Drosophila melanogaster: one gene and its partners. The protein of the gene in region 3 interacts with the protein of the main gene of each other region in a pairwise test. Each region holds a gene or a part of one and is shown on either strand. Other genes may lie near its edges.

Region 1 (3,186 bases), on a different chromosome or scaffold from region 3:
TAAATTTTTCCTCTATGTTTCGAAGATAATCTTGTTGTCTGAAGTTTCAATCCTATGAAATTTCTATTTAGCTGGCGAAATTTTAATTTAGTTGACTTTCTTCGAGTTGTTAGCAGTTGGTTTGGTTTTTTTGAACTGAGAGCGCAGTGTCCAACCGGTGGCTATTTATACTCTTGGCAGAGAGGAAATCCATATAATCTAGAAAATACCGGCACTCTCTCGAATTTTCTTCGCCCTTTGCTGATGCAATTTTCCACTTTGCCTGAAATCGGGCAATGGCATTTAGTTAGGGGTTGTTCACTGTTCTTTAGCGAACTCCGTGGAAGTTTCTGGGGCTCTCTGGGTGTCCAAATATTACTTTATTTACCTTTTATTTTAGCATTTAGCGAAGTTCTCTCTCGCTGTTGCGCCTTGGGGAAGGTCAGTTTCCATACGCAGAGAGACAGATTGAGAGAGCTCCATTAGAGAGTGGGAGAGAGAAAGTTTTGTGGGAGTGCACAGCTTTCTGAGTGCGAGTGTATACGTGTGTGTATTGATAAGCTTGCCATGGGTGTAGTCAAGAACTTGAGATATATGAAAAATACAGCTTAATATTAACAAATAATTAAAGTTTTCTGTTTTTTTTAGCTATTAATAATTAATTAATTAATTAATATTAATCTTCATTTATTCAGAAATATAGCGACGTTTATCGTCAAAGTCCCTCCTTTTGAGCCCATTCATTCCAGGAGCCTTTGTAGATCACCACACTAAAATGAGCATACATATATGTATCCGATATAAACTATTGCAACTATAATACAATTTTAAAACTCACTTGCTGTATCCCTGACTTTTGGCAATTTTCTCTGCTTCCAAGACTCGATTTCCCGACCGGCAGGTGAATATGATTGGCGACTGCTTCTCCGGCTTCGATCTTCCGTACTTGTTTTTAAAAGCAGATCCATCCAGATTTAGAGCCTTGTCCAGTTCATCCACTAAGTAAATAAATAGTAATAAAACACATAGTAATAAAGCAAATACTAGGGAAAGTAGTTTATTACAGGGTATATTGATGCTGGCTGGAATGAAGCCCGTCTGCTGGAGCTCTTCCTTCCGTCGAACGTCGATAAGATACACATCCGGATGGTTGGGCACATCCTTAACCTGTTCGTACGTGGCCATTGTAGTTATGGGGCGGAGCACGAATTTCAACCGGTTCGCCAGCTGAATAACAACTGACTTGCCAGCTGGGCGCAGATGATCCATTTATGAGGTTCAAGATTAAAGATTCGGGTATGTACATATGTATGTGCGTACTTGCTTATCGCATTTTGATTATCGTGGTGTCGTCTTGTTTGTCCAGCTGACACTGGAGATTGCGCCTCTCATCTGTATCCGATTTCACTTTGAATTTGAAATTAAAATCTTATGGTATGATCTCCAATACAGAGCTTGCTATCTGCACTCATTTTATACATACATACATACCTTATGGCGGATCACATATAACAGTTTACAGTCTACGAAAGCTTGGCCCCCAGAAGGTTCCCAGTTGTCTCCCTAGAATCAACGAAACAACGAGTTGCTGCTCCAGAAAAGCTCTGTGGCAATGGGCAAAGCTCTTCCGTCTCTATAAAAGGGCGCAGACAAACCGTTAAACTCCACATTCGAGTCGGAAAAGTCAAGGTGAATTGTGCGCCAAACTGCAGCTGAGATTGTGGATTCCACCACCCGCTGGCAAATCAACCCCTTGGATACTTTTTGAAAGGAAAACAGGTCGTCGGTTCAACGAACCTCCTTCCGCCAGATACACAAAGAAGTTAAGCAAAGAAAAGTAAAATGCCAGATATTCCCTTTGTCTTGAATTTGGACTCCCCGGACTCCATGTACTACGGCCACGATATGTTCCCGAATCGCATGTACAGGCGATTGCATTCGCGGCAGCATCATGATCTTGATTTGCACACCCTGGGTCTGATTGCCCGGATGGGTGCACATGCCCATCACCTGGTGGCCAATAAAAGGAACGGAGAGCTGGCTGCATTGAGCCGCGGTGGAGCCTCAAATAAGCAGGGCAATTTCGAGGTCCATCTGGATGTGGGACTCTTTCAGCCAGGTGAACTGACCGTCAAACTGGTCAACGAGTGCATTGTGGTCGAGGGAAAACACGAGGAGCGCGAGGACGATCATGGACATGTATCCCGGCATTTTGTTCGCCGCTATCCGCTGCCCAAGGAGTTCGATTCGGATGCCATTGTTTCCACTTTGTCGGAGGATGGAGTTCTCAATATCACGGTTCCACCATTAGTTTCCAAGGAGGAGCTCAAGGAGCGCATCATACCCATTAAGCATGTGGGTCCATCGGATCTCTTCCAGAATGGAAACGGTCATAAGGAGGCCGGTCCGGCAGCTTCTGCTTCAGAGCCAGAAGCCAAGTGAAGAGCCCCCTCCTAAAGATTGCAGCCTAAGCAGCCAAGTGATTTCCCAAGACTCTCGTTTATCGTTGCACCAAAAAAAAAGTCAAGAAAATATCGCACAAATCGTATTATATTTATTAATTTATTATTAGCTACATTTTAAACAGTCCAATCAAATTTTAAGACTAATCGAAATCCAGTATTAATAAAGGAATATGAATGTCTCAGTAATCAAAAGACTTTTACTAATATTTAAGAGCTTAATTCATATCAAAAAGCACGAAATCCAATTTTGGGTACAATATTAACTTTCCTTTGTTCGATTAGACAGGTATTAAAAGCTGTGCATATTAAAAATAGGTCCCCGGATGTCAATCCTACTTAAAAAAGCTTTGGTTAGCCTTTTCCCAGGTGCGATTGAGTGAACTTTTGAACTTTGAAATGAAAGCCCGCCATAAGTGTAATTATCGATAGCTTTTAGTCATCTTTCCAAAACTATCTATCGAAGTAACAGTTTTTAACAAGTGGTAAGTCAACGATAAATTTAATAAAAGAAACTAACATTTAATTACACAAAGTATATATATTATTTTTAAAGTTATTTAGCAGATGGAGTACATTATAAACTAATTTATTTTGTTTGGGATTATAATCTGAATAATAAAAACCCGTGACATATTGCATGTTGCCCATCTCCAGCTGGCACTGTAACCTCAAAAAAATGTTTTGTTTACTTTTGCGCCGCTCTGCAGTTCATAATTCCTGCAAATTAATCAGTAAACAGATT
Region 2 (2,889 bases), about 17 Mb from region 3:
AACAACAACCACAACTAAACAATGTTAAGCGTAAAGATTAAAATATATTCCAACGAAATATCAAAATGTTTGAAGTCAACAATCCAACTATTCACACCTATTAAATATAATATATAAACGAAAATCAAATAAAAAACGTAAATTTTTATTGCAACTGTTGTCCGATATTCAAATTGTGTTTAAAATTAAAACAAGAAACCAATAATGCAACAAATTTTATCCTCAAAAAGATTGTAAAAACAAAAGACATACTTCAATCAACCTAATACTAGTTAAAGCCAATACGAGAAGAGAACTAAACACAAGCGAAAACCCCCCCAAAACAATTAATTTATCAAAGCATAATTTTAGACTAAGCTTGAAAATATTGTTTCATAAGATAATGGAGATAAAACCAACATAAAAAGCAAAATATAAACTACAAATGTATGTGCCCAACGACAAAGTAAGTATCGCCTGCGGACAGAGTATGATTAACAAACAACAAACCACACTATTCAGCAGTTAAATAAATTAACCAAATGCCGGCTTCGTTACAAATTCCGAATAGCAAAGAGTATTGTGAAACGTTAAACGTTGTCGTTTATAATTATGATTTCTTTTTTGTTTTTTTTTCTTTGCGAATCAACAATTGTTTTATAACTTAAATATTATTTTTAACATAAAACCATAAGGACGTTTAGAACTGAATTTGTTTGCCGCTGAATATCCCTAAATAAAGTATAAAAGTATAATCGACAAATCCAGTTTCATTTGTGGGGGTGTTCAAAAGTTCATGGCTCCATCAAGGAATAGCAAACTGTCCACAGCAGAAATGGCCATATCCACGTCCCTCTTTTGTATGGTTTTCTTTTTGGACTGCGCCGTGTAGGTATATGATTCCCGTGACAACGAGGCTATGAATAGTTCCACTGCCTTCGCCACTATGAACACGGCCTCATTGTTGGCCATATGCAGATCCGGATCTAGTTTCATTATGTTCCGTATCCTGGCCAACGGCAGTTGTGTCATCTTGGCTTCGTTATCAGCAGGGGCCTTGTTGCCATTCGTCACTGGAAGGAAAGGAGCCATATAGGAGAAATTCTATCTAAGTGCATCTAACTTACCTGGTTTTTCTGTCAATTGTTCTGTTGTAGATTCTGCCTCAGGATTATCCGGCGATTCCTCGGTGATTTCCAAAGGCTCTTCTGTTTCCGCTAGCTCCGCCTCCTCAGTCTCCATGGCCTGCTGATGCTCCAAGTCCTGTTCTTCCGAGAATTCAGCCTCAAATAGTTCCTCGCTGGCCATTGCGCACTATAAAAATTGAAAACAAACCAAGCGAATGCAATCCAAATACCATATTTTTAGAGATGAGTATCAAGGCAGCCGCCAAAAATATCGATATTGCACCATGTATGAAATCGAAATGGTGGCAGCTCCGCTATCTTCTCGGCGAAGCTCCTTACTAACAGATTTAACTTTTTAAAATAATCTATAGTAATTGTACTACTTCTGTGTTTCAAACACGACATTTTGTACACAGTGGAAAAAATCGACATTTAAACAATCACTATTGAATTAAAAAAGTTGGCAGCCCGAAAACTTCACACGCTTGGCAGCTCTGCCATTATTTTAGTTCATTGGTGTACATACTGTTTTTCAGTCTACACCATTTTTAATTGTAATTTTCTGTAAAGATTGTTATGATAAAAATGGAAACCCCAAGCGAGTTTACTGAGAAACAGCCACCCACCCACGATCACCAGCCGCGTCTTAACGAGGTGGCCCAAAAGTTTCTCGCCGATTTGGACGAGGAGCGCCAGCGATTGTCCGCGGACTTTCCACTTTGCGCACTGCTAATCGACGAGGGTAAAATCAATTTGGCCCTTTTACAGGGTATTTTAATGGTACTAATCCCAATATTGCAGCTGTGGACCGTGTCTACTGCACTGGTCGTATTCCCGGAAAAGAGTTCTACGCAGACGTGTACAAGCAGAAGCCGATGAAGATTACCCAAAAGGTCTTCGTGCCCGTAAAGCAGTATCCCAAGGTGGGTTTATACAATTAGCTGTCCTCTCCGTTCGAAAAATAAATCCGTACCCTTGCGCAGTTCAACTTCACTGGCAAGATCCTGGGGCCCAAGGGCAATTCGCTGCGTCGCCTTCAGGAGGAGACCCAGTGCAAGATTGCCATTAAGGGTCGCAGTTCGATCCGCGATCGTAACAAAGAAGAGCAGCTGCGCAGCACAGGCGACCCGAGATATGCTCATCTTCAGAAGGACCTATTTTTGGAGGTCAGCACGGTGGCCACTCCGGCGGAGTGCTATGCCCGCATAGCCTACGCTCTGGCCGAGATCCGTAAGTATCTTATTCCAGACAAGAACGACGAGGTTTCACACGAACAGCTGCGCGAGCTGATGGAAATGGATCCCGAGTCAGCCAAAAACATTCACGGACCGAATCTGGAGGCCTACAGGTAATCTTACACCCTATGCAGCCTTTGGGCATGAGAATAAAAATATATTATTTTGCAGATCTGTCTTCGACAAGAAGTTTGGAGGCAACAGCAATGGGGCTCCCAAATACATCAACCTGATTAAGAGAGCTGCGGAAAATCCGCCCGAGTAAGTTACTTGTAAAGTATAATTTTGTATTATTTAATGACCCCACCAGGAGTAATGGAACCGAGAGTCCTCGCGTCATAGTAGTGCCTTAAATCCTAGCCAACATCTGTTAACCCAGCAATTAACATTTTCATTTTTATAGAGTCGACGATGTGGAGGAGGTGGCCTATGAGTATGAACATCGTATGCCCCCCAAGCGTCCGCCTACGGGCTATGAGTACAGCAAACGTAAGTTAATCCCAAGCATGCATTCTTTATTTGGGTAGTGCCGGGGTCTATGACATAAG
Region 3 (4,187 bases):
CGTTTTCGGGCGTTTTGATGGTTAAAGGAAGGGCGTGGCCAAAGTGTTTTTTGGAATACCTACAGAAATTAACAAGACAAACAATAAAATATGGGTCAACAAACTTGCGCTTTTATAGTTCATGATCGATTCGCTATGATCCTGATCAAGAACATATATATATACCTTATACATTCGGAAACGCGTTCTTCTGCCTGTTACATACTTTTCAACGAATCTAATCGTTATACGGTTATATTTCCTTTTAATTTGGCCACTTTGTAATTCAAAAAGCACACAGAAGAAACATTTATAAAATATAATAAAAAATAAAAATAGCGAGGATTAAATTAGCAGACTTTAATTTCGCCAAACTACACAATAATATATATATAATTTTTATCAATTGAACTCTCGATATATGTTGCTAGTCAAGTGTCTTTACCTGTGTAAAAATTAATTAGGTTACTTAAACCAAAACTGATAAAACCCATACAGGCGCATAAAAAGAAAAATAGAAGACCAAAAAATTCAACAAACCAAGTAAAATGTACGTTTTTTATATTTATGAGAAGATTAACTTATAATTGGTGAATTATTAATGTAGCTTATTAGCTTATTTAATCTTGTGGAACTCCTCCATGCATAGCTTGCAGCTCCAAGAACCCTCTGGTGGAGTCACAAGCGGTGGTGACAGGCAGTACATATGGTATCCCCGGTCACAATCGTCACAAAATAAAAGTTGATCGTCATTATCAGAGGTCCCACAGATGGAGCAGTACTTGCATTCAATGCATTGCCAACGATAACGTTTTACCGATATAATCATATTTGCCGTGAACTGCAGACACGATGGATGACCGGAACGACCACAGTCCGAGCACGATACTAGCTCTTCGGGCATATTGGTTTTTTTATTTTCTCGTTGATCTCCCAGACAAAAGTCACAATAAGGTGATGGTTGCGCTATGTCACGTTCTACACGTTGTTTGACCTTATTACCAGTAGCAAACACCGTTTGATTTGTTCCTGTTTGCACCGGATGCGCATTGCAAACATTTGAGGTTGTCAGGCCCGCGTTTATGGCAACCATTGTTGCTAGGGGAATTGAGTCATTGGAAGCTCCAGCATCGCTTGAAGTCTTATCGTACGACGACGATATGTTTGTTGGCAGTATGAGTCCTGACTGTGAATTGTCGTCATTTATGGGAATAGGCGAAGCTGAGTTGGAATGAGATGCATAGAGCCCAGTGCTAGCGACAGCAGCTGCAGTACATGCTGCATGTGCGACAGCGGCGGCAGCTGCCGCTGCGGCTGCGGATGTATTTGCACTATTTCCACCGGCTCTACGTTTTCGATCAGATTCTCCCTCAACGGCGTTCTTTCGACGATTGCCTAGGGTATCAATAACGTTTACAATTCATCAGCTTAATAAACTTGTACTCACCACCACCTTTACGTCCCCGTTTGGGAGTACCCTCTACGTTTGCATTTGTTCGTCTAGGACGCGAACACTTTTTGCGTTTGCCCCGGCTGGTGTAAGACTCATCAAAATCGTTATCTGAATCAAAGTCATCCTCAAATTCATCGCCATGATGAAAATGTGATGTGTCCATTTCATCGTGGAACCATTCTTTTTCGACGTTTGCATGTGAGTCCTTACTATCATTATCTCCTGATGCTCCCATGGAGTTGCCATCCGTAGCAGCAATGGCTGTAAATAAAAACCCATAATAAATATAAATGTCAGATGTATAAAATATTGACTTTCATCCGACGATAAGCTGCAATTTTTTACCTGCGCTTTCAGCTAAGTGAGGATTTTGTGGTACAGCAACGCCAGACGAAGGTATATGATGGTGATGCTGATGCGTTTGATGGTGGGAGTGCTGAAGGTTGTGCTCGCGATACTGATAGGCTCGGAAACTTTGATTCGGGTTAAGTAAGTACTGACGTTTTGGTTTGCGCCACCGAGACGATGGATAAGTGTATATCTGACCATGTCGAAGACCTGGCATTCGCTGTTTTTTTTTCATAAAGAGGGAGCAATGTGTCTGTGCGACACCTGTCTGGGGATCGAGGAATGGCATGCGAAGTCGACGTTCAATGCATAGACGAGTGTTGAAATTCTCGCTGTTTTCTAGAATCTCCTTGTACTTTTCCTTGTCATTTAAAAAGTTCTGAATTTTTTCAAAATTGGCAATGTTTACTACCAAAGTTTTTTCGTACGCAGATTTGGAAGCCATGTTGATGCCGAGTGGTAGCCGCAGGAATTATTTGGTTAAGCAATAGCTAAACTAAAGAGCTAAATTGTCAACATATTTTTTTGTCATTGATAAAATTTATGTTTCTTCACACACAATTCAAGCTGATACAAATAACAAAATATAGAATTGTTATGGGGCACTAGGCAAGAAGTACAAAATTAAATATTTAGAAAAGGTGTGAACGTATTTCTATTTTAAAATAGATACAAAATGTATATCAAAGTTCTCGACCATAGTTATAATAAGTTATTTCCACAAGTGCTCCCTAATGCGCAATTCACAACTTCTTGATACGTAACAATAAGTTAACATTAACAATAAGTTCTGTAGCAAAAGTTCTTGATCCAGTGCTAAGAAATAAACATTGCATTAAAAGAATTTATTTATTTTTTTTTGTTTTTATACCATTGATGCTATATTTTTTAATTCCGAATTTTTATCGCATTGAAGGAGAATTTTCGGAGTGTGAAAGTCTCTTAATGCTTAACGGCTGGTCATATCGTCTCGAATTAGTCATGTTCAAAATGTACTGAGTTTGACTTTTAAATAGTTATTCAAAATTTTTTTTAAGAATATATGTTATTTATCCAATTTAGCCATATTGATGAAAATGATAAACATAACCCTCTTCATGAAAACCACTTCTTTATTTCTATTCACACTGGTGAAATTTATTCAGTCGTTTTGAATTTGACAATTCTATTTGAATTTTTTGATGTAGATGTATAGCAAGTGTATTAAAACAAATACAAAAACATTTAAAACACGAAATCAACACCGCAGGGGTCGATAGTTAAATCGAAGTTTTAAAGTCTGTATACATTAGATATAAATTTATTAAAGATCAATCATTCGCCAGAAGTTAAACCATAGGCGTTGGATCTCATTAAATTGTACCGCAAACTTCCTTGACAAGGATACCATCTGCTCCATTTCTAAACCCGCTACTCGTAGACTAAAAGGGTACACTGGATTCGTTAAAAAATAGGTAACAACCCGAAGGAACGGTTTCTGATCACATAAAGTATATATATTCTTGATCCGATTAATAGCCGAGTTGAATTGGCCATGTCCGTCCGCATGAACGTCGAAAGCTCAGGAACTATTAAAGCTATAAGGTTGAGATTAAGCATGCAGATCCAGAAGCATTCACAAACTGCTTAAGACTGCCAGGCTAATATATTAAAAAAATGTTTTGATATTTGTATATTTTTCCGTTAGTTTTGTAAATTTCTATCGATATGCGAAAAAAAAGTAAACGTGTCCGATCTGATAAATTAAGAATTATAGATCAGGATTATTCTTGGACGCTCGTACCAGTAAGTGTATATTAAAAAGTTGCCAGGATCATTTATTGGGCAACAAAATGTAGCGATAATAATCGGAAAATCGTCTGTATCCGTGGAAAGTACTGATCGAGACCAGAATGGCGGGATTTTGGCTTGGATACTTTCAACGAGTGTATAAAAGGCGGAACGCTGGACGAAGGCAGGCACGAAAACAAACAAAATTCTATGTGCAGTACCGTGAAAATGAAAAAACGGTATTTTTAAGCACCTCAGAGTTCCACGCTAAAGAGTTAGCCAACCACAGGGGCCCGCCATGAAAAGCAGCCGAAAAAAATTTTGGCCTCAAACCTCACATATGTAAATTAACTTTTTGCGGTATAAATTATTTTAAAAAATAATTTTTTATTTTTTAGTATTTTTATTGGTGTTAAACTTTTCAACTTATCACTTTATTACAAGACACTTATTGTTATCTATTTATACACTAATAAACCGTTCTTTTAATCCTCCCGAATCAGACTGATCTTCAAATTCTGAATCCTAATCCAATCAACCTCGGCCAGAAGCTTTTCTTTGACACTTTCTGAACTTTTGATAAAAGCTTTATGCTGAAATTATTCCACTGCATTGTGAAATTCAATTATGCTGATCG

The links.
Region 1: the proteins of d4 (region 3) and Hsp67Bc interact in a two-hybrid assay, tested with the Drosophila melanogaster proteins (one large-scale study listed by BioGRID).
Region 2: the proteins of d4 (region 3) and PolE4 interact in a two-hybrid assay, tested with the Drosophila melanogaster proteins (one large-scale study listed by BioGRID).

What each region holds. Positions count from the first base shown.
Region 1 is NT_037436.4:9,370,953-9,374,138, reverse strand, and holds Hsp67Bc (heat shock gene 67Bc), read left to right. Parts: upstream 1-1,641; 5' UTR 1,642-1,821; coding exon 1,822-2,421; 3' UTR 2,422-2,628; downstream 2,629-3,186. Other genes in the region: CG4456 (uncharacterized protein), read right to left, coding at 695-749, 818-977, 1,044-1,164; Fdx1 (ferredoxin 1), read left to right, coding at 3,121-3,186.
Region 2 is NT_033778.4:22,410,252-22,413,140, reverse strand, and holds PolE4 (DNA polymerase epsilon subunit 4), read right to left. Parts: upstream 1,353-2,889; 5' UTR 1,288-1,352; coding exon 1,107-1,287; intron 1,053-1,106; coding exon 766-1,052; 3' UTR 559-765; downstream 1-558. Other genes in the region: qkr58E-3 (quaking related 58E-3), read left to right, coding at 1,692-1,848, 1,908-2,029, 2,090-2,454, 2,513-2,602, 2,745-2,830. UniProt on the Drosophila melanogaster protein: Accessory component of the DNA polymerase epsilon complex. Participates in DNA repair and in chromosomal DNA replication. Has a role in cell cycle progression. Required for wing morphogenesis.
Region 3 is NT_033778.4:5,292,303-5,296,489, reverse strand, and holds d4 (d4), read right to left. Parts: upstream 2,428-4,187; 5' UTR 2,226-2,427; coding exon 1,778-2,225; intron 1,694-1,777; coding exon 1,427-1,693; intron 1,375-1,426; coding exon 596-1,374; 3' UTR 525-595; downstream 1-524.